Alligator mississippiensis: one gene and its partners. The protein of the gene in region 4 purifies or fractionates together with the protein of the main gene of each other region. This does not show direct contact. Links are inferred from orthologs where the notes say so. Each region holds a gene or a part of one and is shown on either strand. Other genes may lie near its edges.

Evidence for each region.
Region 1: the proteins of SINHCAF (region 4) and SAP130 purify together in Homo sapiens (affinity purification with mass spectrometry; 3 studies listed by BioGRID and IntAct, counting the BioPlex papers as one, with this or other methods). This does not show direct contact. The link is inferred for Alligator mississippiensis from reciprocal best matches to the Homo sapiens genes SINHCAF and SAP130.
Region 2: the proteins of SINHCAF (region 4) and SUDS3 purify together in Homo sapiens (affinity purification with mass spectrometry; 3 studies listed by BioGRID and IntAct, counting the BioPlex papers as one, with this or other methods). This does not show direct contact. The link is inferred for Alligator mississippiensis from reciprocal best matches to the Homo sapiens genes SINHCAF and SUDS3.
Region 3: the proteins of SINHCAF (region 4) and SIN3B purify together in Homo sapiens (affinity purification with mass spectrometry; 3 studies listed by BioGRID and IntAct, counting the BioPlex papers as one, with this or other methods). This does not show direct contact. The link is inferred for Alligator mississippiensis from reciprocal best matches to the Homo sapiens genes SINHCAF and SIN3B.

Annotation. Positions count from the first base shown.
Region 1 is NC_081830.1:39,528,733-39,535,755, reverse strand, and holds the start of SAP130 (histone deacetylase complex subunit SAP130), read left to right. Parts: upstream 1-4,018; 5' UTR 4,019-4,129; intron 4,130-4,732; 5' UTR 4,733-4,737; coding exon 4,738-4,849; intron 4,850-6,278; coding exon 6,279-6,514; intron 6,515-7,023. Other genes in the region: UGGT1 (UDP-glucose:glycoprotein glucosyltransferase 1), read right to left, coding at 1,400-1,568. UniProt on the Homo sapiens protein: Acts as a transcriptional repressor. May function in the assembly and/or enzymatic activity of the mSin3A corepressor complex or in mediating interactions between the complex and other regulatory complexes.
Region 2 is NC_081833.1:22,485,998-22,493,678, reverse strand, and holds the start of SUDS3 (sin3 histone deacetylase corepressor complex component SDS3), read left to right. Parts: upstream 1-4,667; 5' UTR 4,668-4,756; coding exon 4,757-4,922; intron 4,923-6,810; coding exon 6,811-6,880; intron 6,881-7,681.
Region 3 is NC_081839.1:449,114-456,478, reverse strand, and holds the start of SIN3B (paired amphipathic helix protein Sin3b), read right to left. Parts: upstream 3,019-7,365; 5' UTR 3,004-3,018; coding exon 2,902-3,003; intron 2,806-2,901; coding exon 2,699-2,805; intron 1,732-2,698; coding exon 1,578-1,731; intron 734-1,577; exon of another isoform or gene 659-733; coding exon of another isoform or gene 638-658; intron 1-637. Other genes in the region: NWD1 (NACHT domain- and WD repeat-containing protein 1), read right to left, coding at 4,393-4,682, 6,354-6,462, 7,207-7,365.
Region 4 is NC_081827.1:114,555,131-114,562,560, reverse strand, and holds the start of SINHCAF (SIN3-HDAC complex-associated factor), read right to left. Parts: upstream 3,010-7,430; 5' UTR 2,871-3,009; intron 1,868-2,870; exon of another isoform or gene 1,786-1,867; intron 298-1,785; 5' UTR 183-297; intron 1-182. UniProt on the Homo sapiens protein: Subunit of the Sin3 deacetylase complex (Sin3/HDAC), this subunit is important for the repression of genes encoding components of the TGF-beta signaling pathway.

The DNA of each region.
Region 1 (7,023 bases), on a different chromosome or scaffold from region 4:
CTTCGTCTGCAGCCTATATGAGCCACATCCACCTGCCATCTGATACACCACAGGCAGTTGTTGCTGTTATGATCTGCTACTGCAGCCTGCAAGAGGTACCACAAAAAAAACAGGAGAAACTGCCATTTTTCACACTGGTATCATTGAACTGTTGACAATGACTTTCTCTAGAATTTATACCTTCACACGGCTGCTGGAAAAAGCAAGGTTGGAGTAACAATTACTACTCTGCCTTCAGCTATAAGTCTAGAAAACAATTAGAGGCTTCCACTCTGTATTACATCTTTCATAAGGAACTCACATTAAGTCCTGAAAAAAGGATCTCCACATATTTACCTCAAACACTGCACTTGTTCTTAAGGCAGTGGGGAGACCACACAGAAATACAATAAGGCATTAAACTGCACTTGGGCCCAAGTTCCTGGACATAAAGGGGAAGGAAACCATTACATAAGAAATGATACCAGTGGCCTAGTACTTTACATCTGTCTTCAAGCACTGCTAGAAGGTGGGGATCCCATCTCCATTTTACAGAACCTGAATCTGAAGCATGAGGATAAAGGGATGTGCCTGGAGTCATACAGCAACACGCCTGACACAGCAGTGCTTTGAACCCCTTTGTTCCCATTCCTAGTCCAAGGCCCACATGTTTATTTCCATAGGAAATTATCTTTAAAAATACCAATGCAGCACAGTGTCACAGCTGGAAGGTGGCTCAGCATCAGAGCAGGTCAGCTACAGCGGCTGCAGGATCTCCGCAAAGCATAGGCTGGACAAACGTTTGGAGGGAGCAGCTGGGACACAGATGGCTCTCCCTGGAGCAGACCTATTTGACACATATGGGGAACGTGGGCCTTAGGCCCACAGTGCAAGTTCATAGAGAATATGTGCCTCTGGATACGTGTCAACTGCTTTTGTGGGACAAACAAGAGAAAACAGGGATGGGAGTGAAAGTGAAAGGTTCAAAGTGAGGACAGTGAGCAGCAAGCGTCAGACAGTGCTCGGTGAAACTCTGCTAGCAAATGAGAGCGGACAAGGGACAGGAGAGTGGCCTTGCAGTCCCCGGGGCCTCCTGGACAGAGCCTCCTTCCTGGGTCGATATGTTGCCAGCCTGGTCAGGGCCAGCAAGAGGTCTCGGCGCCGCGGCTCGGGTGACTGCCTCGTCCCTCCGAAGCCTGTTTCCCCGTGACGGATTATTAAGGCGATGGCCCGACGGCACGAATGTAACACAAGTCCCGCTGACTTGCAAGGGGCGGCGGAGCCCCTTCGCAGAGCCCGCAGGCACAGGGCCGGGGCTGGAGCTGTCACAGCCCACGCGGCCCGTCCCCCCCGGAGCAAACGAGTCTCCCTGCGGCCCCGCGCCCGCCAGCGGCCCCCGGCCCATCCCCACGCGTCGCACCTGCCGCGCGTGCACTCGGAGCCGCCGCGCTGCCCGCACCTGTAAGCGTCCGCCACGCTCCCTTCCGGCTCCTCCCGTCGCTCCCCGACTTCCGGGCCGAGAGCTTCCGCTTCCGCCCCACTGCCAGGCGGCCAGAGAGCACCCCTCTTCCCCAGCCTCCGCAGGCCATAGAGACACGGGGAGGCTAGAGCGCCACCCGGCCGCCATCTTGGGGAGGAGCCAAGTCGGGCTGGAGCCTGGAGGCGTCCGGCGAAGCCCTGCGCTGGGGAGGGGAGTGTAGCTGACGTCAGTGGCCCCTCGGCCCTGCCTGAGGACAGGGATGTTTCGATGAGCGACCCCACAGCTGTTCTGGGCTGCCGACATGTTATCGCAGGCGATAGCATACGATAGTTCCTACTGCCAGAGCCTAGACGTGACCCCGAAGTGGAAGTGTTGTTACACAGCTGGGGGAAACGGGGTGGAACGAGGCAGATGGATTTTGGCTTCAGTTGTACCTCCTCCTTTCCTAGAGCTACAGAGCATTTTGTGCCTCAAAATTTGTTTGACATCTTGACTATAATAGTCCAATAATATGTAATATTATAAGCCACAAGTCTGTAAGTATCATGCATAGTAGAGGAGACTAATCATTTGTGGGTGGCACAAGGGAAAAGAGTCATTTTACAGTACACAAAGGTCTGCATCACTTCACTGGAGGCAGAGGTAGGGGCTGGCTGTAGATACCCATCTGCTAGGAAGGCTAGCACACAGCAGGGCCATGAAGCCTTAGGCACAGTCTGTAGTGTACACAGCAGGAACACAACTAGATATTCCTGCAAGCGGTAAGGAATAGTTGTAGAAGGACATTCTGCCTTTATGCCCCAACCCTGACACCTAACACTGCAGAGTTGGAGACTACTTGATAAATGCTCTCTCTGACATAGCAAACACAACATCCTACATTTCTGAGCCAGGGTGGGGCAGGGAGTAGAGTGAAAACCATCATAAATAGCTTCCTTCTACCAAACACTGCTCAAAAAAAAAAAAAAAAAATTTTTTTTAAATTGCAATCATCAATAGTATTTAGGACTTCCTCTCAGAAACATGCCATTTGTGGGCTTTGAAGAAATCCCACTTAAGTATGTTAGGGTAAGATAAGTCTGGTAGGAGGCTTAGATTTCCTTTGTATGCTCATCTTCTACTGTTTGGGCTCAGTCCAGACTGACAGCATTTACTTTAAAATACCCTGCATTGCAAATTCAATCTGAAAAAAAAAAAAAAAAAAAAAAAGGAGTCAAGTGGCTCTAGAGCCTACTGCCTAGCCTTGGTACTCAGCCTGCAAAGAAAATAGGAGAGCAAGAATTGTTACAATGCATCAGCCTGCCAAATGCCAATGGCAAGGACAGTAGATGAGTAGCTGAGTTTGTAACCAGGAATGATTTGCAATATTTCTCCCCTTACTCTAGGCCAGCTTGGCCATTACATACAAGTAAACACAGCCAAGAGAGTCATCTCTCTATTTTTATTCTTTGCATCACGGTGAAAGATTCTGGTCTTCAAGGTGCCTTGCACACAGTCACAGTTGCCCACTTTCTAGAAAGAGTGGAATGCCCAAGTGCCAAGCAGGATGCAACACGAGCACAAACTGCTTGGGGTTGCGGCGTGTGGAGGGGCTACCTAGCAATAAAATGAAGAGTTTAGCAGAAACTACAACTCATCACTTACCTTAAATGATCTGCAAGTGTTGTAGTGCCATGCCAGTGGGCACAGACAATAAAATAACCAACCAACCAAAGGTAAACGCATAACCTGTTGCCTTCACCACCTACTGGCTCCTGCCTGGATTCAATAGCTAATTCACATCAGAGTGGCTCCCAACCTGGCAAGCGCTAGATAACTCCCGACTAGTAAATCACCTGTGCTGAAAGCCCGGGTGACCGTCATCACTGATGAAACGGACTTCTCGTGATCACCCCGAGCCCCACCAGAGGTGCTGCAATACCTAGGAGCTCATCCCAGCCCGGGAAGAGATCTCCTGGATTCCTGTCAACCCTTCCGCGCGCCCGGGCTCGGCCCGGGTCTCCCTCCTGTACTGCAGAGAAACGAGACAACTGCGGGGGGAGTGGGAGTGGTCCCGGGACGACCCTCTGGCAGCGAGGACAGGCACGTCTCGACCCGAAAAGCCTCGCGGACAAGAGATTTGGGGCCCAAGCGGTCCCGGCTGCGACCGCGCTACATCGGGGCGGACCCGGGAGCCGCTTCCCCAGGCCGAGCCGGGAAGTCACAGGCCTCCGACAGCGCGGCGACGTCCGCCGAGCAACCCGGGGGAGGGAAAACAGGCGGAGCCACTGCAGATGGCGGCGCCAGCCCCGCAGGGAGCAGCGCGGCACAGCGCACGCCCCGCCCCCTCCTTGGCACCGCCCTATGGCTCCTCCCGCCATGCGTCTCAGCCAACCGCAGCACGAGCCCAGGCCCCTACTCCTGCCCCTCACTCGCGAGACCTCCTCCGCGAGACCCCCTGACAAGAACTACGCCTCCCAGCAGCCCCCGCGAGGCCGTCGCCCCAGCCAATCACCGCCCGAGGAGAGGGGGCTGGTGCCGTAGTGCCCCTGTGGGCGGGGCCCACCGGAGCCAATCAGGCGGAGGGTGGCTGCAGCGGCGGAAGCGCAGCTCGGTTCTGAGCATCGGTGTCAAGTGGAGAAACGGCCCGGAGGGCGGCTCGCACAGATCCCGCCGCGCCTTGCCTGGCAGGTAACGGGGCGCGAGGGGAGCTCCAGGCGGCGGGCGCAGGGCCGCGGGCGCAGGGCCGTGGCGGTGGCAGGAGGGGGTCGCGGCTCCAGGGCTCGGGCTGGGCGGCGGCGGCGGCGCCTGGGGGTGGCGAAGTGGGTGGGTCGGCGATGGCCCGTGCACCGAGGCCGGGCGGGCGCAAATAGGCTCTGCCACCCGCGCTGCCTTGGCGCCTCCCAGCGCTCCGCCCGCTCGCGGCCGCGGCGCTTTATTTCTGGGGAACATCCGGGCTCTGCGCGTCCCTCACAGCAGCGCCGCTGGGAGGGAGCCGAGCGCGGAACGCCGCCGCTGATTGGCCGGCAGTTTCCCCTTTCATCATTGGCTGCCCTTCTCATGAGGTCCTAGCCAAGCAGGGGTGTTCATTGGCTGGGGCGCGCTCCCGTACGCCTGCCGCGGATTGGCTCGGGCGCCACCGCGACCCCGGATTGGCGCAGGGCTCGGAGTGCCCTCAGCTCCTCGGCCAATGAGCGCTGGCGCTTGCGCCCGGGCTGGGGGAGGGGGGTTGGCGTTTGGTGCGGCGGCTCCGGGACGGGGGCGGGGCTGCTCTAACCGCGCCGTGTCTCGCAGGGGCCATGAACTCGCAGCAGTTCCCCCGCGCCGGGGCCTCGCCCGCCGCGCTGGCGCAGCCCCCGCCGCCCATCCCGGCCAGTGGCGCCGCCGGCCTCATCGCCCCCGCAGGCTCAGGTGAGACGGGGCAGCGCTCAGGGGCGGGGGGGACCGCTCGGGCTGGCCGGGACAGCATCGCCCGCTCTCACACAGCCACAAGCAACCGCCTTCGTGAACCTGCCCCCGGGGATCGTCCCGGCGCCCGGAGCTGCCTGTGCAGAGTGCAGCCGAGGTCACGGGCGGAGCTTGCTGGAAGAAGCCGAAGCAGCTAGTCCGTGCCCCTAAGTGCAGCAGGCTCGGCCAGGGGGAAGAGGGAGCAGCCGCGGGGGCCTGCAAGGCCCTCTTCAGAAATCAGCCTGGAAGCGGAGGGACGCCAGGGAAGGGAAAAATCTCTGAAGTGACTCCAGAGCAAGGCTGACGCTAATTAGTATCAACTGTGTCTATGTCCAGAGAACCCACCAGGTACCCAGAGGACACTGGCACCTTGAAAAGCACTTTGGGGGCATCAAGTCATTGACAGATTGTTCTATTAGAAAGTAGGGTTTTTTTAAATATCAGCACCTCTTACTTACTAAGCCAAACTATATGTCAGATGGTTTTTAATCCATTTTTCGAAGCATTAATGTTCTAGTCTTTCCATTACACTCATTTCTGGGTCTTGATACTGTTCTGAGCTCTGTGCTGACAAACATTTACTTCCCCTTCCCTGCCCCCCCGGAGCTCACTGGGAAGTAGGGATTTCAGGACCTTCCTAACTGATTTTGCTACACTGTTGGTGCCTTCATCAGAAGTCAGTCAGATCCCATGCAGTAAAATGGAAATAAGTGTGTTTAGAGCATGTAAAAATCTAATAATAGTAGGAGACTGAGACTTATGGTGAGTATAAGCTATGGGATGTAGGTTTTGATTGACTCATAAACAGAATAAAATTTATAACATTTCAGCTTTTTGTTTTTTGTCACCATGAGCTGAAAATGAGAGAGGATTCCCAGTCTTAGTCAGTGTTATCACCCTCAAGATCACAGCATTGTGTTAAACGTTGTAACCTTTTGCTTTGATACCTGTGATTGCTTCGGCTTCGGTCCAAACTTAGATAACTTGTTTAATAATTTTGTGTTAAAAAAAAAATTAACGAAAAGTCAAATGTTGAATCAGTGGCATGGGGCCTTAGGCACTTGCCCAATGGTCTGTAACGGTTTCTTCGGTGTTCAAAATGCATTTGGTCACTTTTAAGGAAGGTTACAATCAGCTGTTTATCTAAGTAGACTGATTGTGCCTTGAGGGTGTTTTGGAGGACTGTAAGAGCCCTCCCCCCCAGACGGAGGGTTGCTCACGTTCTGAAGACTTTAATTGTTGGGGTTGCATTCATTCAAGGATTAATGAATTTCTCCTGTCCAGGAGTTTTGAAACAACCCTGCTTTGCTTTTAGCACTTTGTTTCTAGGCTTGTGGGTAAGAATCACTTATTTCGTAGCCCCTTTGCTCAGAGTTTCTTTTTTTTTTATTAGCAAGTGATGAATCTAATCGAGAACCAGAAGTTGCTCCTAGAGACCATGTTGGCTCTGGTGGCTCTCTCCAGTCTCGTGAAGAGAAGCAGGAACCAGTGGTGGTTCGGCCGTACCCACAGGTTCAAATGTTGACTCCACACCATACCGTGCAGCCTGGTGCTCCAGTTACAGTGACAGCTCCTCCGGCACACCTGACTCCAGCAGTGTCCCTTTCCTTTTCGGAAGGACTTATGAAGGTATTGAGGAGGCTCACACTTAAGAGGGGGGAAGTTGAAGGAATAACAGGAGAGTAAATTCTTTCTTAGCAATCTCATCAGCACAAAGTTAACTTCAGTTGTATTTTTTTGTTTTTTGTCCACTAGAAAGTTCTTCTGAATGGTATTGTCTGTGTGATTCTTCTGTGCTTTCTTCCTGACTGTATGCCTCCTTGTGGGGTGCTGGGGTCTGCTCCAGGTAGAAGACTGGTGAAAATCTCTGAGCATTAATTTGTTGCTTTTCCATGTATTTTGTTTCCTAAGTTAAGGATGATCTAAATCAGTTTATGAATCCCCTTTTGTTCCTGGATGGGGCAAGGAGGGGGAGTAAAAATGATGCACTATAACATTTTGAAATCAAGACAGTAAAATGAAGATATATATGGAGCAGACCAGGTGGTTCTTTCTTCTTGACCGAACCCTCCCTACAAAGGAGATCTTTGTGAGGAAAGGCTTTGACTTGAGAGGTCACAGGCAGTCTTCTTTTTGCT
Region 2 (7,681 bases), on a different chromosome or scaffold from region 4:
TGAAGAGCTGATAATCACAGACCTCCTCTATTTTCTGAAAATGAAATAAACACAGAACTTTTTTTTTAAACCAGATACAGACATTTAACTAGATTTCATAACAAGCCCCCAGTACAATGCATTAGCTCTTGTGTGTATGTATCGGAGCGCTTTTTGTGCTAAAAATAGGTTGAGTCCTGCCAATTCAGGGCTTGCTCAGCATCATAAAGCTGCAATGCCCAAACAACGTATCTGCTGCTAACCAGGACCTAAGTGCACCACGAAAGTGGAGAAACATCTGAAAAGACTGTGCGAAACAGTCATTTTCTGAACTGAAGGTCTTTCTTTGTGTACTTAAAAGCTGTCTAGTATTTCTGCAGCATTTCAGTGGAAGCCTTCCTGCATCCCTGGTTTATGCTCGTCCATTTCTCCTCCTCTTCAGTTGAGCGTGAACTATGTCGCTGAATCCTGTCCCACCCAAGCAGCGTGGGCCTGCCTGTGACAGGCGCGCCACAAGATAAGCCCTGCACCATCTGCGGACACTGTCAACCCCTTTCTCTGCCAGATGTGCTGCTCTGCTCCCCGCCCCGCGTCCTGCCTGCTCCCCCGCTTTCTGCTCCCCGCCCGCGCCCTGGCTGCCGCTCCGCTTTCTGCTGCCCGCCCCGCCACCCCAGGTGCTGCTCGACTTTCCGCTCCCTGCTGCCCTGCTCGCGGCTCCCCACCCTGTGCTCCCAACCGCGGCTGCCGCCCGCGCCACTCGTGTCGTGCCGGCCCGGCCCGGCCCGGCCCCGCCGCACCCCGCTGCCCCGACACGCTGCAGCCCGCGGGACCCGCCTGTTGCTCGCCGGGTCGGGTCGGGTCGGGTCGGGTCGGGTCAGTCCCAGCTGCCCGCGCCGCGCTCTCACCTGGCCCGGGCCCGAGAGGCCGCAGCGGGCGGGCGGGTCGGGCCGGTCCGGTCCGGTCCGCGCTCACCGCCCCCCGCTTCCTGCCTCGGACCCGCCGCTGCCCGACGTGCGCCTGCGGCTGCTGCCAGGCGCGGCCGATCGTTCGGCTGCATCGGCGCTCGACTCCCGCGTCTGGGAGCTCGGGCGAGCCGAGCTAATCGGGGCTCGGCCCTCGACTCGCCAGCCTGCTCCCCCCCGCGACCGGGGGGGGGCGGTCTGCGTTTGCCTGCGCGGGGAGGGTGGAGCCGACTGGGCCGCCGTCACTGCCCGCATCAGCGGGGCCGATGTTGGGGGAAGGGGATCTTTGCATCGGTGGTTGATTTAGAAGTCTGTGCTCTCTGGGCCATGGCGATCGATTAGCTCCTCCACACAGCTCGGTCCCAGAGAGCGCTCGGGACGATCGGTGCTCGATTGGAAGCCCTGAAAGGCGCGGGCGGCCGGGGGGTTAACCCCTTGTGGGAAAAGGCGGGAGTTTGAATGGGGGGCAACGATCCATGGGGGCCTGGATCGGAGCAGGCGCCTCTCGCCCGGCCTTGGGTTCAACGTGCTGGGGAAAGGGTGGGGGGACTTACGGGTTTCTTGCCCATTCAACCCAAAAAGTGAATTTGAGGCTTGTCCAGTCTAGATGAAAGAAGCATTTACTCTTTAAACGAGTCACTCTTGCACATGCATAGCTAGGTCTATTTTCAACTGGATTAACCTGTGCGTTTCAGTATGGATAAGACTTAACCAGGAGAAGCAACAAAACCGGACAAGGGGAAAGGGATTGCTAACAATATAAAGGGGAGAATTTGCTTACAGAGTGGTGTTTTAAGGAAGAAAAGGCTCAAAGGGACAGGAAGAGCTTTCCAAGTAGACGATACAACAAGAAATTAGCTATTGGAATAGCAAGGGCAATAAGAGGATGGGGGATTCTTACAATACAAGGAGTCTTCCGCAATCCTCACCAGCGGGGCGAGGGCTGCAGTGCTCATTGTTCTTTTCTTGTCTTCCCCCCCTGCAAAAAATGTCCTCGGTCGCTCACAGCTCAAAACCACCTCTGGTGTTAGCCCCTGACCATAATTTTTCACAGTATGCTATGTTACAAATGTTCTGGTCACAACCATCTCATTCCCATGAACAGACTTCACTTTCCAAACTAACCTAAAGTTTTATTGACAGGTTTTTTTTTTCAATATCAACATATTGATTCTTTTACATGCTGTGAGCCCAAGTTTGGTATCACAGCTACTCCATGAATGGTAATAGCTGATACAGGCAAAGCAGCTTTCCTCAAAGGAATGGATATGCAGATACAACAAAAGGACCTTTGGTGGAGACTTTGACTCTATGAATAAGGGGCACAAATTCTCTCTGAATGCTGAGATGTGAACAGTCAAGTAGTCACTATTGAGGGGGAAACGGCACATTCCTTAAAGATAAGCCTCCTCTTGGGTTTCAACTGAATGCCTGAAAGATGACAGCATGAGGTTTCCGCATAAGTTTAGCACTGAACATGGGGAGTGAAGTGTGCTGAGATGAGAGCAATGCAGCACATGGGATTCTAGTGTTGACCACAGAATAATTTAAACATTTCTGAATCAACAATTATACCTAGTCTCTCACTGATTATCACCATCCCCTTTCAGTTCCTATCACATGTGATGTCATATCAGTAAATATACCTGGCCTTTGAAAGTAACATAAAAACAGCATAATTTGGAAAAGTTATTCTGCTTCAAGAGGGGCTTAAGGCAAACATGCCACTGGAGACAGTCCTGGATTCAGCCTCACCTGTGACTAGTTCACCTCTCAACTTTAGTGACCTCTCTTGAAAACTGTTGGATTTCAGCTTCAATCCCATCATCTGTAAAAGGTGAGTAATGTTTACATATGTAAAAAAAGATGTAATAAATACTTAACAAGGATGTTGCAAGGCTAAAAACGTTAATCTCCATAACAGATCTTTGGCCAAAATGCAAAATAGAAGAGCTAAGCACTTAAACATTTTCACCCTTTTAATAACAATGAGTACACTAGCACCTCTCACAGCTTGTCAAGGCCTAGTTTTATTAGTTTCACACTGCATTGCTTTGGTGATCATTCTTTGATAGCACTTTTTAAATATTATTTCCTTTTTCCTGATGACAGGGTTACAGTACATAGGACATATGCCTCAGTGAGTCAACATCTCATGATTCTGGGGAACATACCCTGCAAATGTTAAGGTAAATGCTTAGTCACAACTCCGCTAGTTATAAACCAATATCAACCAGTTGATCAGTACACCTTAGATGGCTTGTCTTCCCATAAAAGAGCTAACACAGGGTGTGTCTACGTGAGGTGTTTCATGTTCAGAAGACTGAAGCTACTGTGCATTAGCACGGCAAGCAAAGCCTATGTTAATGCACAGTAGATTTAGTCTAATGCACAGTAGCATCAGAAAAACGTTCATCTGCACTAATGCACAGTAGCAACAATTATGATGCATTTAGTACGTGTCATAACAGGTACTAAACTTAATGTAATTACAGTGCATTAATAAACGTGTAGATGTGCCCACAGACACTTCACCATAAATCCAGATTTTAGCATTCTTGTGCTCAGGTTGAAGGCCTTGAATAGCCTCTCCAAGCCTGTAATTAGCAACGTGCAAGACAAAGAGTTTATCTGTATGGCTCCAGGGACACAGCCTGGTGAGAGCATTTGAACATTACAAGATTGAAAAGGATCTCATCTCTGAAAGGCGCTTATTGCTTTGGAGGGAATAAACCCACTCCTGGCACAGAAGCTGTTATCCATGGGTGTGAAGCAGTTACCTCAGTTGGGGGATGTGATACCACAGCTATCAGCGACAGCTTGTTGGGGACACGGGAAAAGGAAAAAGCGAGTCCTTCGAAAGGAATAAGAAGAGCAGAGGTGCCGTTGCGCTTCAGTCCTCAACACTTCAACATCCTGCCCCCGGGCACCTGATGACGAACAGATCATCGTGAGGGCTGGCTGGGACGTGACATGGCTGTCGCGCACCTGCACACATGTGAATCCTGGTCCCCTGGGGCCCCGGGTCAGGTCAGGGTAACGCGGCGCTGCAGAGCCCAGCACCCTCCTGGAATGGAGACCCCGGGCGGAAAACACCCGGCGCTGGGCTGGGCCGGGCCGGGCCAGGCGGGATGCCCTGGAAGCCCGCGACAAGGCGCGCTGGGGATGAGCCGGAGCCGGGCAGCTCTGCAGGAGCCGCCGGGCCTGCAGGAGGCAAAGAGGGGACCGCGAGCAGCTCCTAAGCACCCTCTGCCGGCAACCAGCGGGGCGCTCCGCACGAAGGGGACGGGACCGGCCCGGGGCGAGCCGCGCGGGTGCAGCCGGCACCTGCCTGGCTTCTAGGGACCTTATGAGGTCAGTGGCTCCGCGGCCCGAGGGCACTGCCCGCCCGGGCGAACGCAGCAGCGGGCAGCCACCGCGAACCCGGACCCCGACGGGGGGCGGGGCCTGCCTCCGCTATCAGGCAAGTCCACGTCCCACCCGGGTGGGGGTTCAGCACAGCCCACTTCGTTCTAGGAGAGGGCCGCGAGAGCAGCCCTAGACTCCACTTGGAACAACCCAAGTAGCTACAGCACTGCGCAGGCGCTACCACTAGCACCAGGCTCCGGCCCCCGGGGGGTCCTGATGACTCCGTGCTGGCCCCCACGCGGCCCGGCTGGTTTGAGGTGTCCCGCGCATTCGCCTGCGCGAGTTTCCGGGTCAGGCAGAGCGGAGGCAGCCCGCGCGTCCCGGAAGTGGCTCGCGGAGGGCCTCGCCCGGCTGAGGCGGCGGGAGGAGGGAGCGGGTGAAGCGGCTTGCGGCCGCCTCCCGTCGCGATGAGCGCGGCCGGGCTGGTGTCTGCCGCGCCGCCGGCCCCCGTGCCGCCCGGGACGCTCCCCGCTGCCCTGCCGCCCGGCCCCGAGTACTACGAGGAGGAGGAGCTGGAGAGCGCCGACGAGGAGGACGGCGAGCGCAGCGCCCGCGCCCGGGACTCCGACGAGGGTGGGCGGGGCCCGCGCCCGGGAGCCTGGGGGGGGCTGGGGGAGACTCGCACCTTCCTCGCTAGGCGGGGGCGGGTGTGTGTAGTGTAATGGATGTACGTGTAATGCCCATACACGTGTGTGTGTCACGTACACACGCGTGTGTTCCTACAGCCTTGCATGCGCATGTCTAAAAGCACAAGCTTTTGTGAGCTGACACACTTCATCCCCACTTGGGACCTGGTGGGGCAGGAGGAGCCGGGAGGGTCACTGCTTTGGGTCTTAACCTCAAGATCAGGGTTTCTCAGCCCACAGGTTTTGACCCAAAAGCAGGGCGCAAGAATATAGGGGAGGGTTGAGAACAAACTCTACAAATGGATTTTTCTTTAAAGGAAAAAAATGTGGGGAACCGCAGCATTTCCTTTGCCGTCCCCCCATGTCTCACACACACACTGCTGCCCTTCACTCTGGGGGCAAGGGCAGCAGGTTGGGGGTGAGGGGCACTGGGTCGGGACTGGCCATCGATGTTTACAAATGGGTCCTGGTACAAAAAAGGTTGAAAACTGCTGCTCTAGACTCAAACTCTCCTGCCCCCTATCAGACTTGAGGAACCCTGCTTTTTGGCTCCAGTAAAATAACCCAGTAGTTCCCCCATTGCAAAGAACTGGGACAGCAGCCAGGCCAAATGGGTTTGATGCTGTGGATTTCTGTTTCACATCTCTGGGTTTATTTTATGAATGGTGGGCAGGGGTTTGCGCACCTGGGTGGTAATGTTGCACATAACTCATGGCAGCCGTGAAAGGACTTCACAGCATCCCTGCAACAGCCAGGTTGAGAATCATTATGTTATTTCCACAAGAGGGTGGGGGGGAAATTGGTGTAAAACAGTCACAGGAGAAACAGGAGGGATGAGGGGGGTGGAGTTTGGGCTGGTTTTCAGTGGAGAGAGGGGTGGTAGTAACGGAGGAAAGTCCATAGGTAGTGAGAAGAGTGTAAGGCAGGGACGGGCAATTATTTTGGGCAGAGGGCCACTTACTGAGTTTTGGCAAGCCATTGAGGGCCTCATGATAGGTAGCCAGGGCCAGATAAATATTCATTTTCTAAATTTTTTTAGGGGCCCTGCGGGCTGGATAGAATGGCCTGGCTGGCCACATCTGCCCCATGGACCGCAGTTTTCCCACCCCTGGGGTAAGGGGAGGAACAGAGGAGTGAAGTGAGGGAACATAGTAAAGTAGTACAGTGACAGGTTACAATGTCAGAGAGATTGTGTGAGATGGCACTAAGCATTAGTACTCGCCTCTGTTACATGTAGATTCTGAAGGACTTCTGTGAGGTGTATGCTTGTAAATACTAAGCTGAATAAATCCCAGTAGCATTACTTAGCACCCTTCCTGGAAGTCTTGTCTCTGTTGTAAAACGTAACAGAATTTAGTTCTATTCTTTTTTTGTTCTGGGTTTCAGGGAAAGTGTGGAGGGGTTTTGAGACTTGTAAAGGAGCTGGGGTTTGCTCTAGCAAAGAGAATATGGCAGGGATAAAAATGTAAGAAAGTCTACAACACATCCCTTATGCTATGCCTAGCTTTCATGGATGGCATGAGGATTTTCTAATTTACTATAATTAGCTAGATTTATTCAAGAAACAAAGGGACAAGATGTTTTGTGTCAGCTGATTTAATTTTCTATACTATTAAGCTTTATTATAAATGCTTGTTTTAGCAAACAGGACAGCTATGTGTGGAAAACACGGATAGCAGCTTGTGATGGTCTGAAGATGATTGTGTCAGAATTCACCGTTTAGGCTGCCCTAGCTTAATTAGAAATAAATGCAACTAGACAAAAATGACCTGTTTCTTTAAAATGATTTGATGCTGTGTTTTTAGTGATATCAAATTATTCTACATTTGATTCAGATACTGAGGATGCTAGTGAAACTGACCTGGCAAAACACGATGAAGAGGATTATGTAGAAATGAAAGAACAGTAAGTATTCCTCCCCCACCAAAACAAAGTTTAATGGCATCTTTCTTTAAGTTTTTTAACTTGCTAAAAAAGCCAGGGGCAGGTTATTTCTGTCTGGATAGTTCCTAACATAACAGGGCTGTTTAGTTATATTGGACTTATTAAAGGTTCCCTCTGTCTACAAGCACAAACTACTTAGCTGTTGCATCAGTGTTCAAACAACTTAAGTGTTTGCTACTGTCCTCCTGGATAGATGTGACTTCACTGGAGTCATTCATCTCTGCTCTGGACATGAATGGGCCCCCTGTGTGCTTGGCGGCGGACCCAGAAGTGGACTAGAAGCACTTCTGGTCCACTTCCAGGTCTACCGCCAAGCACACAGCGTGCGCCCCCCCCCCCCCCCCCCGCCCCCCCCCCCCCCCCCGGCTCCTGTGGGACGCTCCATCCGCCTCACCATCTCAGCCTTCATGAGCCTCCTGGTACCTTGAAGTATGTAGAAAAAAGATTTAAAGCTGTGTCTATGTCCGAATCTCTCCAAATCAATTTGGAGTGATTAAAGGATCTCCTGATTCAATTCAGAAACTTACTCTTCTCATATAAAACCTTCACTACCCCTTTAGTTCTATGATAAACCCAAATGGTTGCTCCTGGTACAAATCAATAGTCTGGCTTATGTTTTCTGTATATTTTTTACTCCAGTGTGTGTTGATCTACAGCAGGGGCGGGCAGTTATTTCAGGCAGAGGGTCACTTATTGAGTTTTGGCAAGGCATTGAGGGCTGCATGACAGGCAGCCGGGGCAGATAAATATAAATTTTCTAAA
Region 3 (7,365 bases), on a different chromosome or scaffold from region 4:
CCTCAAGCTTAGTGGAATCCGAATGCATTGAATCTGACCATGCTCTCTGCCCTACATCTCTTGAATATGGCAATGCTTGAAAACGGCTTATGCAATTAGTAACTGAGTGTGAAAAGCAACTCCTCTCAAGCCAGTGCTGCCACGGCCTTTCTTAAGTGCCTCCAGGTACACGAGCAACACAGTTCTTTTGTCCCAGGCCAACCACGACTGTATGAACTGGTTCTGGAGCAAGTGTCCATCAGTAGCTAATGCAAGGAGGAAGGTTGAGGGATTCTAGCAGAAGAGTCTTTGTGATACTGGACCTTTTGAGAACTGGGGGAATGAAAGCGAGGAATCTCACTAACTCCCAGGGAAGAATACACTAAATATGAGAGCTCTCTCTGAATCAGGGGTTCACAGCAGGGGGCCTGTAGGCCTTGTAGATCATCTCTGAAAGTATTTTACCCAGCAGCGAGTTTCAAGTGTCAACAAGACCTTGTATTACCACAACACATGGTGACTTCATTTCAGTATCCAGTTATGAAGCCAGGTCTCCTGTTAGTCACTCAACATCAAGGCATTTGATGCACAATAATGCCATACTTCATCACCAGATTCATATTCTCTGCTCTGTGTCCTTTTATCAAAGGGTGGATACCTTCTCAGGTCCAGTTTTCATCAACAATTCTTCCACCAGAGCAGCCTCATTTTCAAGGGATTTTCAAATGCTGTACCTGGACCCACTGGCCATGATCTTGACAAAGGAATACAGAGTAATCAAAATCCAATGACCAAAGGTCCGTGAGAAACCTGATTCACTAATGCTTGTGATTGGCACTACATTACCCTATCCTCTTCACTTTAGAGATGGTTTGAATTCACCCTGCAGTATAGTTAGAGTAAAACTACTTTGTTCCAGAAGAATGACAGATTATCAAGATGCATGCTCAGTAGTCAAAATGCTAAATTTCTAAGTAATACAAAACAATCAATGCACGTAAGAGATCTGAAAGAGTAGTAGATGGTGGAAATTAAGGTTTATACAAGAAGCTTCTGAACAGAATTTTAGCTGAGACTTTTCAGTTACAAACTCAACAACCGCACAGTGATGAAGGAAGCAGAGAATGGCATGCATCTATTTGTGTTTTAATACCACATCCTTCAGTGCAGTATATGAGCATCTGAATAAAACGCGGCTATTTGTATCACGCCAGTAAACGTCTTGTGCCATAATGGGAAGGAGGAAATAAGATCTTTTGAAATATTCCTTTAAAACGTAAAGTGTGATTACAAAGACTGAATGGAGCATGTATACATGTGCACCCAGCCACCATCTCAAATCTGACTCAAATGTCTGGGCTGCAGCATGTGTGGGAGCTTTATTCCAATCAAACTAAGAAGCATTTCTGGAAAAGAAAAACTTTTTTGTAACCTCAAAACTGTTTTTTATAACCCCATACCCTCAAAATTTGAAAACCTTTAACTAACTGCAATAAAGGCAAACCAGCTCATTTACTATGCAGACCCTGCGTGCTACTTTATCTATATGCGCACATACATTTGTGTTCACGTAAAGTAATCCAAGCATGTTAACATACCTGACTAGCCAGCGGCGACTGTATACTCAACTTCCCGTTCTTTGGAATCTCTATTCTGTAGCCCAAAGGGAGGAAAGCGTTGAATCCTACAATGAGGTCGGGATGTTCGTGAAACAGCTGGGAAACGCGCCTGATTACGCCAGGGGTGTCAATGCTAGAACCAAGACGAAACCGTTAACTGCATGCAGGGTCTTTGTCACAAAATGCAACCACAAAGGAATTCATACGCAGGTACAGATGCATCAGATTGCAAAAATAACTTTGTTTAACAGCACAGGGATTTGAAAGACTTAAGCACTGAGACAGTGCTCACTCCCTGCAGGTATCTGTGAAGCGCCTACATTTCTCATGGCTCCCTCTACAAGATGTCAAACGCAGCAGGGGGAAGTACTGCTCGCTGAGCTCCGGGTACGTAGCGAAGATACCTCCTCCCCGCAGGCTTACGCAGCGACCGCGCAACGTCAGCATTTTGGTACGCTAGAGCCAGGTGTGCAGGCGTCAGCAAGAGCCCTGCCTTTCCCCTGAAACAGGCATCTGTGCAGGTCTGCGGGTCCCAGGGCCGAACGGTACCAGGCCGCGACCGCACGCCCCGCTGGAAGGTCCGTCCCCCGGAGGGAGCAGCGGGAGCGAAGGCCCCTCGACCTGCTCCTCCCGCGGCCCCTGCCAGAGCGCAGCGAGGCGGGACGGGGCAGGACAGGCGAGGCCAGGGGCGAATCAAGCTGGTCGCAGTCAGCGCCAGCTGTCGGGCAGCCGCGGGGCAGAGGGAGCCGCAGCCCGACCCCGCTGCGGGGAGGACCAGGGGAGACGGCTCGGGAGCAGAACAAGCTCCCGGGAGCGGGTCAGGACCCCGGACGCCAGCGCCCAGCCCAGCCCAGCCCAGCGGCGGCGGTGCAGGGAAAGGGGCTGCCCTCAGACCGGACAACACGCCCGCCTCGGAGCCAGCCCTGCCTGGAGCTGCCCGGGCCACGCGCCGCCGCGCTAGGACGGCACGGGGCCAAGCGGGTCCCAGCCCAGCAGCGCAGCGCAGCGCAGCGCGGGTGCCGGGACGCGCCGCCTCCGGGCTCGGGCTCGGGCTCGGGCCTGCGCCGGCTCGGGGCCGGGGCCGGGGCCGGGGCCGGTACCTCTGGCTCTTGAACTCCTTCATGATCTCGAGGAAGCCGTTGTAGGTGGCCGGGTCGCTGCCGAAGCGGATCTTCACCTGGTCCAGGTAGGAGAGCGCGTCCTCCACCTGCGGGGAGACGGGCGGGGCGGGGTGAGGCGGGGCGGGGCGGGTGGGCCGGCGCGGGGCGGGGCGGGCCGGGGCGGGCCGGGCGCGGGCACTCACGTGAACCGGCAGCTTCTCCTGGGCCCCGGCGCGGCCGCCGCCCCAGCGCGGGGCGCTGCCCCCCCGGCCGCCGCCGCCGCCGCCGCCGCCCCCCGCCGCCATGTTGGGAACTCGGGCACCGGGCGGCGGCCCCGTCAGCGCGTCCTCGGCGCCTGCGTCACCGCGCACGCCCCGCCCCGGCCCCGCCCACTTCCGGCCGCGCTGCCGGCTTCCGGCGCCGCTATCGCGCGGGGCGGCACTAGCGCGCGTCAGGGGGCGGCGGCGGCGGCTCTTCCAGCTCCAGGCCGGGCCGTTTCCGCCCGAGGCGCCGCGAAATCTGAGGTAAGGGGTGCAGGGCCGCGCTCTGCCCGGTGGGGCGGGACCGGCTCGGCTCGGGCAGCCCCCGCGTCGCCCAGGCCGCCGGCGAACACCTGACACGTTTTATTCACAACAAAGCAGAAGCCGCATCCGTGCCTCCGGCGTGGCCGGGCCGGACCGCGGGGCGAGCCCGGCTGGCCGTGGTGCGCCGGGCGCGGGAGGGCTCGCGGGGCCCACGGGGCTGCCCGCAGCAGGCACGGGCTTCCCGGCGAAGTGCGGAGCGCCTCTTGCGTGGGCGGCCGGCCGCGGTGCCGAGCTCCCGCACGCGCCTGTCGAGCGGCCGGTCGGTCGTAGCCGCGCGGCAGATATCGCCGCCGCCGCCGCCCGGGCACAGCGCAAGCAGCCCGCTGGAGTCGAGACTCTCGTATGAAGTTTATTAGTAAAGCTATCCTGAAAGTTGTGTGGGGGAGGGGGCACCGCCTCCGAACTACATCGCCATAAAACTTGTTCCTTTACTTTTAGGAGGAACTAATAATATCCCAACAAACAACCGATTAGTGCAAAGACCTTCCCTGCGGCAGCCCGCCGGACACACGACCCTTGTAATCACAGTCTCAGAAATCTGCGGCTGCTCTCTCTCTGTGCGCAGGCAGCGAGGGCTCGTGGGCCGGTAGCTTGCTCCTGCCGCGATGGGCGTGCGAACTGCGGGCTCTGCAGCCCTTGTACACACAGACCAGGCGTGCGCAGCTCCTAGCGCAGGCCGGGCGGGGGGTGGTGGCAGCTCACAACAGCAGGGGTTCGTGTGTACTCATGGCGCGTGTTAACGGTTCAGCAGTCGGACGGTTGACTCTGCTTCTGGTAAATGAGGCACTCGCATTAACAGCACGTTGACCCGTTAAAACCTAACGCAGCGCAGGCAGCGTCACGAGCGCAGCGCCCACGTTCCCTGTGCGTTACTTGACTGTTGCAGTGCAGCGGCACTAAGAAATCCTGAATGCTAACTGATCAAATACACTGGGAAATACTATAGTTAACTAGGTTTTCTTTGTTGCGTAGCGTAGATTTGAGCAGAGAAGAGATCTAGTAACTCCCGAATTTGACCCCAGCTCTCGGCTTCTGACTTAAGAGGCTCGGCCTGAACGCTTGATCTTGGGTCCCGAGGCTGCGTGGTCCTGATCTGCTGCTTCGCTCCTCTTACACAATTGCACAGATCTGTGAAGGCTTGCGGTTTTGACTCTGGTGTCTGGAGGTATTTCCTTGATTGTGATGCTGCACTCCTGAATTTGCCTCTTCTCCCTTCCTGGATTTGACTGTGCATGTTGCCTCCACGTGCTGGAGCGGGTCGTGCTGGTGGCTGCTGGACTGTGGGCAGTGGAACTTCTCACGAATTATATAGCCAAGATTTGTTGTTGCAACAAACCCATCAGCAGTTGGCACGATTCTTCTTGCAGTTGCATGCACACACTGCACAGCCAGCAGAGCACCTGCAGGAGATGAAAAGGAAATGATTTGCAGCATAAGACGTTACACTTGAAGGACAGGAGGCCCTGCCGTTTTCCATAAATGGCCCCGTAATTACTGGTGTTAATGTGAAGGAAGGGTGGGAAGTTTGTCATCAGCTCCTTTAGACTGTAACAAGGATCGGGGTGGATAATAGAAGCCTATAAAGGATTTTGCCATAAAACTTGCAGAGATTAACTTGTCTTAGAGGGTCATGGGCACGCTGCCCTGAAAGCACTTGCTACTGCACGGTAACCTGCAGTGAAGAAAGTGCATTACTTACGGTTCCAGTAGTGTTCTGGATACCTGTTTGACAGATCAGAAGGCAAGCCCCCTGTCACGTCAGCTTAACAAAAGGAAGTCTACTAATCCAAACTGCAGAATACACAGCTGGAGTTAAACATCTTTGTTTAAACTAGCTGCCCATCCTTTGTGAGAGGATGACAAGTACAAGCCTTATAACAAGCTAAAGCATAAAGTTCACAATTGTTATGTAACCCTGAAATAAGAGTGAGCACACAACAGTATCTAACAGAGGAAAGGCAAGGAAAATGGAAGCGTACATTTTTTTCCCTTATGCCACATATGATGTTCTTGCTCTTATGTGGGCCTAAGCTTTTAGGATGAGTCTAAATACAGAATTTTAAGGTACCTTACACATCGACCCTGACAAGCCCTCAAGCAGCTTCCCTGCTGTAGAAAGTACTACATCTATGGCAAAAACTAGACACTGATGTCACTGGCTAGTTCAGGGGTGGGCAAAATGTGGCCTGCCAGGCCATTCTATCCCACCTGTGGGGCCCCTAAAAAATGTAGAAAATGAATATTTATCTGCCCCAGACTGCCTGACATGGGGCCCTTGATGGCTTGCCAAAACTCAGTAAGTGTCCCCCTGACAGAAATAACTGCCTGCCCCTGGGCTAGTCAGTGTAATGAGGCCTTTTTGACACTGGGGATGGTACTTCTCTTTGCAGTGTCACAGAAGGTCAGGGTGTACTGGCAGGCACTTGTGGGATGTTCTCATGGATTCAAGGGAGGCAGAGGTAGGGGTCAGTGCCCATCTATATGTAGCTGCAACTTACAGAGACTTTCTCTCTCTCTCAAAAATCTATTTTTTGGCCAGGAGAGAGATCCCAAATTCCTTGTGCTAACATGTAACCAAGTTAGTTTCTCATTTAAACTGAGTGTAAATTTTGTTTTCCTTTGTACTGCAGAAAGGAGCTTACATACCTGTTTAATATATACAATAAAGCAGAAGTTGTCAAATTGTGAGGCGTACCCCCCTGGGGGGCATGGAGGTGGGGGTGCAGCACAGTGGGGCATGGGAAAGAAGCTTGCAAGGAGCCACTGCAGCTGCATGGGGGGGTGTGGGGGTGGGCAGGCTCTGCCAGGGGGTTGCTGCACCTCTGGGAGCCCAGTGCAGTGGGCGTGCAGCCTAGAGCCACAGCAGGGCCAAAGCAGGAGGTGCTAGAGCTGAGCCGAGCAGAGCCACAGCAGCTGCTAGGATGAGGGATGCCTTGTGCCTGGCTGCGCTGCTCCTCTGGGGCGAGGGGGCCGGTCAGTACAAACAGAATTGGGGGCTTAGCTCAAAAGGTTGGAAAATGATGTAGTAAGGTGTACCCTCTTGTCTTAGCTGGCGATACAGATTTACTTACCATTTGAAACATCCCAAACTGCAATGGATTGATCCAGTAATCCAGTATACAGGTATTTATCATCTTTTGAGAAGCAAGCACATTCAATACCTTTCAAGAAGGATGAATGCTAAAAATGGATAATGGGTTTGAATTAGACCCTAATGTACTGGTAAATGCACATGAAGATTAAGACGACCTAGATGGTTTGACTGTTAGGTAGTTGAGAACGGGCATACATTTTAACTTAACCAATGTTTCCAGAGTGGTTCTAAGCGAGACTGAAAGTGCAACAAGCTTGGCATTTTGCTTTTAAGCTTCTAAAGCGCTTCAAAAAAAGTGTCCTGTAAAAGCTCAGAAGGCTACCAAAAGGAGTGAGTGCAAACTGTGCAGCCTATCGGGTAAAGGCTGAGGCCTGTCAGGCACAGGTGAAAAGCTGAAAAATAGCTCAAGCTCTTCCATCACTTCCCCTTTTATGGGACTCCACAGGGCTGAGCCTGTTAGTCCTTTATGCTGCTTTTACTTGACCTCAGCTAAACAATGTGCATAACCAAGAACAGGATGCAAGCAAACAATTAAGTGAATGTGGTGGATAAGTTCTGACCAAGCATCTCTGAAGATGTGAGTTTTGGGGCTAGAAAAAATTTAACAGCACTAGGTCATCGGTGGGCTCTCTAGAAAGCATACTCTTTAACGAGGTAGCTAAACCTGGATACAAGTGTGCAGTTCAGGCCTAAGATGCCAAAAGGAGGCACCTAGCTGCTACAGTGTTTGGAAAGCCCGCTATTTGAAAATTGGACTAGTTATGTCTGTACTGGCTCATTGGAATAAATGACTAATAATGTTGTGTTCCCAAGCTCTGCTGGTGCAGTACCTTGTAGTAGCAGATCTCGTGTTTCCATTGGCAGAGCTCCAAGTCCCATAGACACAGCAGAGAATCCTCAGAGCCACTCAGTGCCCACTGTTCTCCGTGACTATTTTCTAAACAAGTGATTTTGCTTCGGTGGGCTTCCAAAGGAAATACTTGGGAACA
Region 4 (7,430 bases):
CGATTCTACCAGATGCAAATCATTCAGAAACTAAGTATGTGCCCACTGTATGCTGGACCTCAATCCATTTGGTAGGATGACTGTCAAAACCTGGAAGTCAGTCATTCACAACAGATCTAGCCATGTACCGATTTAGAGAGAGCCACAGTGGGCTTCTGTAGATGGGCCATTTATAGTCTCACCTGTAGGAGGGAGTGCTCAGGAGCCGAGCTGTTCACAGAAGCGTTACCACCCTCGTGCTGTGCCTGGTCTATGGAAAAACAGAAGTCTCCAAAAGCTCCCAACCCGCCACAAGCACTAAGAGAAAAAGCAAACAGAATAGGTTCAAGTACATTATTGATTCCATATATGAATGCTAACCTGTTTCAACAACATCTGGCCCTACACCCTCTTGGAAATTTGATCCCACAACAGTAAGTATCCTCATCCTTTCTATTTATCATACGTGTACCTAGATGCTATTAGAAATAAGCCACATCTGCAATCAGAGCATGCCACTTATAGTGCCAATCTAAAATACACATACCTCCCTCATGAAAATACAAACAAGTACATAATAAAAGCTTCCAGTCTTTTAGATTTCTGCTGGTTTTAAAATGCTAAAAACAATTAGATCAAGTCAGAGGCCATGTAATTAGTCAACTTTGCTAAACAAGCAAGACCAGGAAATTCTTTTTGCAATTATCATCAAATAATCTTGACCCAAGGACTGGCAATTCTTAGAGGAAAAGCTGATGGGGGAATATCTATGGGGCAACCTTAGGATATTTCACCCTACAGGTGTGGCAGTCAGGGGGAGCTTTTGATACAAGGAAAACAGGATCTTGCCACCGCTTTGTCCAGGTATTTCCTGGTCTAGGGGCTGAAAGAGGCGGCCTAGCAAACAAGTAAACAAGACAACCCACAGTAGCTTCCCCTTATATCTTTTTAGTAACATATCTGCAGATGAGCATAGGAAAGGAAATAGAAATTAAGTCCAAATGAAATGGAAACTTAAACAACTACAAGTGTTTCTCCTTACTCAAAATAAGGTTGTTTTCTTAAAATAAATAAATAAAAATGTACACACATTTCTCCCCCCCACCCCATGGATAGTAAGCTGCTTCAAGAAAAATCTGGCTCTTTTGGAATTTATATATAACAAACCAGTTTATGGCAAAAACAAGAACTCTTAAGCTCTGTTTCAGCCTGCAATTCCCAGTTGAAACAAAGCTCAAAGGACAAGTATTTGTAATAGCATAATAATGCCAAGTGAGGTAGGAAAAAAAAAAAAAAAGTTCTAAAACTACACGCTCTCTAAATCTCTCGCAGTAAAGAGAAGAAGCCCCTAAACTGCTCATACTTTGCCATTTTTCTACCAAGGTGCTTTGTGTAGCTACTGGATACTGCTAAATGCCCCCCTGAAAAAGGACTTAAACCCTCCAAAAAGCCTCCAAAACCCCTCCAAACAACAAGTGGGTCAGGCCCCAAATCCCAGCCCCCTTAAGTCAAACCCGAGAAGTCCCGGGAATTCAACAGGGCCAGGGCTGGGATTCCCGGGCAGACTTCCAGCGTGCAGCATGCCCAGGGACTGGCAACAAAAAAGGAACACCCAAGGGGCCAAGCTCCGTTCTCAAGCTGCGCCCATGACACCAAGGAACAAGAAGTTAGGGCAAAAAGAAAAAAAGTTAGGGTAGGAGCAATGGTGTGGGAGGGAAATATACAGAAGGGCATCCCCCGCCAGAGCCCAGGAAGCCTGGAACAAAGACCACCCACCCCCCAGCCACCCCCGCGAGGACGACCTACTTTTCACAGAGGCCATGATGATCAGGTAGACAACAAGGCTCAGGGTCACCCGCAGCCACTCTGGGCACCTCGAGCCTCTCCGCAGTGCACAAAACCAGCTGGGATGAGGCAAGGTGCAGCCAGAAACAACCCCTACCTCCCCCCAACCACCCTCCCACAGCCCCTGCCACGAGGTCGCAGGGAAGTGAAGCGCCTGTAGCCACTTGGGGAGGGAGACGCGGAGCCCTCTGTGCTCGGCTCCCCCCCCCCCCTCCGGGCACCAGTTGAAGTTAGCAGGCCCCCACAGCAGGGTGCCACCAGCAGCCCAAGCCGTGCCCCCCGCCCCGGCCGGCTGGGGGAGGCAGGCACATCGCCCACAGCCAGCAGCGCCCGCGGCGCACGCGACCAGCCCTTTGTTTTCCCTGCAGCCTGCTCCTGCCTACGTGAGGGGCCAGCGGGAAAGGGCGGCTCGCGCCGCGGCTGCGGGTGCCACGCGGAGAGGAGTTTGCTGGCAAGTCGCGCTGGGGCTCGGGAAGTGGCCAGGCGCCATCACCGCCCGGGCCCGCAGGGACGAGACTCGGCCGGGCCGCGAGCACGTGTCGTGTCAGAGCGCGCGCACAGCCCAGCCGGGCCACTTGCACACGCACCCGCGCCACTTGCACCCCCCCCCGGGCAGCAGGCCGGGCCACATGCATACCCACCCACCCCACCTGCACGCTCACACATATACACGCCCCCCCGGCCAGGCCGGGCCACTTGCACGCTCCCCCCCTCCCCAGTTAAAGGGCAACATGGGGAGGGACCCCCCCCACAACAGGGCAGCCTACCCCGCGCCACGTTGTGGGCGCCCCCGCCCGAGCTACAGGTGCAGGCGGCGGGCGTGGGCCGGCCCCACGCGGGAAGGCGACCCGGGCTCCGCGCCTTCCTCCCGCCCGCGGACACGTCTCCGCGCGGACGGCACCAACAGGTCGCCGGGGCTCCTCCGCTCGCGAACAAAGCGGGGGCAGCTGCCCCGGGGCAGCAGTTGGGTCGAGCAGAAGCTGGAGCGGCCCGCGGAAAATGAAGTAATCTCCAGCACAGGAGCCCGAAGACCGCGAAGCACTCACCTCACCTCGCCGCCGCCGCCGCCTGCAACTTGGCTGCGCCGCCCCGTGCGCTCCTGCTCCTACGCCCGTAACGCTTAGCTCGCTCGCTAGTTCGTGCGTGTCCCCGCCTGCGGGACGCTGCGCGCATGCGTCGTTCCCACGGCTCAGTTCTCTTCAATCGAGCTGCTTTGCATACGGCCCCCATTGTCCTTTTAAGGGAGAAAGGCCCGCGCGGGAAGCCTGGGAGGAGGGACGGGGCCGCTTGTGACGTCACCCACCCCGCCCCTCTCCTCCAGCTGGGGATCGGAGCCGGTGGAACAACGGACGCCGCGGTCCCTGCCCGGCTCGCTGCTCCCGGCGGGGGAGGAGCGGGCTAGGCGCAGCACGGCGAAGGACTCGGCACGGGTGAGGCGCCTCCGTGGGCAGGGATCCAGGTGCCCCTTGCGCCCTAGGCTCGGCGTGCCCGGTTCCTCAAGGTGCGGGAGCGCGGCACAACTCCGCCTTCCCCGGCGTCAGGGGCCGACCGGTTACGCTTTGACTCTTTCACAGATTCACGGAAGTTTAGGGCTGGAAGGGATTTCGTGAGATCATCGGGTCCAGCCACCTCTGCTCTGGGCAGGAAAGGCTGCGGGGGCAGATGACCCCAATCAGGTGCTGGGGGGCCTGCAAAAAAAATTGGGCTGCCCATCAGGCTGCCCTAATCGAATCGGAGACCCCCCCCAAGGTTAGGACTTACAATCTTGGGGGGGTGCTCAGCCCTCACCTGTAACTTGAACCCTGCCCAGCATCTGTGCAGTACCTGCACTAGCTGTTTACAGGGCACAAAGGCATGACAAAGTTCGGGAAATGCAGTGTTGCAAAGAGGAGGAGGCAGCATGTTTGGTATATGAAAACATTGCAAACAAACTTTAAAAGTAACTCATGAAACTTTAAAAAATGGATTCTCCTTTAAAGGAAAGAAAGTGGGAAGCCCTGGCTTTTTCCTTTGAAGGCTGGCAGAGTTCCTGCCTGCCAGGGGTTGTTTGCCCCCCCCCCATGCTTTACACACTGGGGGCTGGGGTTTGGGGGCAGCAGGTCAGGAGTGAGGGGCACTGGGTCAGGACTGGCTATCAGTATTCACAAATGGCTCCTGATACAAAAAAGGTTTAGATCATGTAAATGCCATCTTTCTGCCAGGCAAGGGTTGCATTTAGGGGTTTAATCCCAACTATAGTAACTATACTGGGGGTTAGTAAAACATGCAGATCAGTAACACAGCAGTAGTTTTACACCCTGCTGCCCCCACCCAAAGGATTCTCTACTCAGTTTATGCTGATGTCCCTGGCAGTACTCCATACCATGCTGCCCTCTGCCAACCATGCCTTCACCAGCTTTGCCCCACCATCCCAGCACAGACTCCCACAGAAGGACTACTGTCTGCTTATCTGCAACCCAACAGCCTCCCAAGCAAGTGACGGGACACAGCAGCAGCATATTGGCTGGCGGGGAACAGGGGCTACAGAGGCTGGGAGAAAGGCTTGAGAGACTGCTTCCTGCAGGCTGCTGTGCTCTCACTTGGACACCAGGCAGCGCAGCTCTGCTCTCTATGCTCATCAAGGCTTGCCTCCTGCTTCTTTCTGACCAGGACTTTTCAATCCAGGTCCCAGTTGCTTCATTTTCTTATGAATGAACTTCTACAGACTTTAGTAACAGATAGGGCCAGATTACCACACAGGCAAACGAGGCACATGCCTAGGGCCCTAAAGGAAGAAGAGGGCCAGTTGTGCTTATTTTATATATTATAATTATTCAGTGAAAAAAAGTAATATAAATATATGGTATTAAGTTAGAGCTCCATGAGTTTGTTTGCCTAGAGCCCAATAAAGGGTTAATCCCGCCCTGCAAACAAGTGTTTTTTTCACACTTGTTTTTTATGGACTATGTATATTTGTGTACAGTGGTAAACATGCTCTTGAGAGCCTTCTTTTTATACCCAAGTCTCAGAACAGAAATTGAAGATTAGGTTTGACCTAGCTGCAGCCCTATCCTGTGACTTTTTACATTCATTTATTGTAAATGACTGTTCATTTATGATCTTTATGCAACTCCTATACCTCAAAACAAATTGTTACTCCATTTCAATATTGTGCAATAAATTTCTCTCTCATGCTTTGCCTTTGAACAAGAGCAACTAAGTTTTTGAAGCTTACTATTATTTTTTTTTTTTTTTAAATAAAATGCACACAAGATTTCTCCTTTAAGCTTCAAGCTAGTTTCTGCCCTGGTCTTGCACCCCATATCGATGAGAGAAACTCATGAATTAATCAGAGGGTCAGGGTGACACTCTGTGGGTCAAGGAGGAAGAAGGGCATAGTCTCACTGGGGTTTTAAAAAATATTGCTCACAGAACTTTTCTAGTGCGTCATAGTGAGACATTTAAAAACTCACCTTTTAGCTGCTTCTTAGTCACACTGTTTGCACAATTTAGAAGCAGCAGTAGCTCCATGTTACATCAACTGGCTCATCAATGTTGAAATTAGTTTCTTCTTACATAGCTATTCATTATGTCTAAAACATCTACATGCAGTACAGAGTGACACATAGGCACCTATTACTTCTTTAAGAACAATGCCAAAAATCATGAGAGTTGGCAGCACTGTATTTTGCACCATATTTGCACACAATTAGAAATAGTCATAAGCTTTTCCTCCAGTCTAATACTGAATATTTCATTTATGTATTTCTCTTTAAATGATAAAAAAAAACCCTTCTATACATTGACCTAAAAGTTAGGATTTTTTTAACACACAAACAAACACCGATGTAGTAGGACTGGAGTAATTTGGAGATGAAGATTTTAGTTCTCTGAAGACATTTTAGTTTGGATTTAAACTTCTGCCAGACTCTCAATCTAGTCAGAGCAGAATTGTATGCTGTTTTCAGTGCATAATAAACTGAACATAAGGAGCATCTTTCATTACCTGAGACAAGAGGAGAAACTGGAGAAATGTATAAAGTAATTTCGATTTTTTAAATTATTTTGGTTAAATCATTTAAAGTATTAATAAATGAGGCTGTTTTAAAAAAAATATTGAAAAGATCAGTGTCAGGTTAACATCTAATTAACATTTAGCCTTCAGTTTCACAAATTGTTTAAGCATATGCCGTAAAGCTAAGTAAATACTTATTGCTTATGTACTTTGCTGACCCGGGTCTTATTACTCTTACTCCCATTAAAGGCAATGGTTAAACTTCATTTGACTTAAATGAGAGCAGGGCTGGATCTCCAAAAGGACACTAATAAAGATCCAAAGTGCTTCCTTCCTTGTGTTTGCATTCTTTACATTAGCAGGAGGGGCAGTCTTCTCTATGTCAGTTTGCAAACTCCTGGTAAATGTATACCATGCTCTAAATAAAAACAAACAATCCCCTAGCAAACCAACTTGTGGCCATGGGAAGGGAACAGCTTCAGTAGGGAGATTTCAGGAGGGTAATCTATCAGCAACTGAGATCTCTGTTAAGAGACCTAAATATTATGGCAGTGTCCTAACATATTTAATTCCAAACCTAGCCCAACCCAATCATTTACAATACAAAAGGGATGCTCAGCTTTGACCTGTGTCAGATTTGGCCCTAAAAAGTTAAAATTGCCATCAAGGGCAGGAGAAGCAACTAGCTCTTCCAATATGAAGGGCAACGCACTTAAAGCTGGGTGGCCAGTCACCAATAGGGATAGATAGAAAAAACCTTGCCTCCAATAGAAACAATATTTAAGATATTTGCTTTTATAGTATTTACATAAAATTTGTGAAGGCTACTGCTGCTTTTGACTGTGCTGCCCACAAACATCTTTGAAAGAGTGAGCTGCTTCTGGAGTTTTTCCTTTTTTCAGCACTGAAAGTCGTCAGCATGACTGAGAGATACAGGTTGGTCTGCAGGAAGAAGTAAGCAGAACTTCTGGGGAGGAGATATTTTTTATTAGACCAACTAGACAGTTAGAAAAAAATATATTCTTTGTTTGCAAGCTTTCGGGCATACATGCCCTTCCTCAGGTATAGGAGAGTGCAAAGATTGTAAAATTTCTTCCAGGTAGAAACTGAAAATTCATATTTCAAAGAAGAGCTGAAAGGTGGTGTAAGATGTCCTGGTTGGAAAAGTTCATTTTATGCAAAATAGGCTCAGGTAAAAGTTGGAGTGGTCTGTTTACCACCAAGTTACCTGATGGCAAGCAGGATGTTGAATTATGCTTCTTTCTTGTTGTGATGTTTCATATTTTGTGGGAAGATGGGTGATGGAAGCCTCTCCTGGGCAAGGAATTTCTTTTGTGTTGTGGCTGCTCTGTGAGCATGCAAGTTTTGCTAGACACAAAAGGCTGGAGCAAGGGTGTCAGCTTTCAGGTCTTAAGGTGTTGAATTTTGCTTCCTTTTTGTAAAATTATAAAGTTTTTTTGCAACTATCTGGTTGGTCTGTGCTATACAACCTGTATTCCTTTCATTACGTAGTAAGCACCTGTTGCTTTTATTACCTCCAACACAATCAGGGTACTTGTGCTCCTCATGCTAGCACAAAGGGATCAGCTTCCTTTTAGCAAAGAGTTGTAAT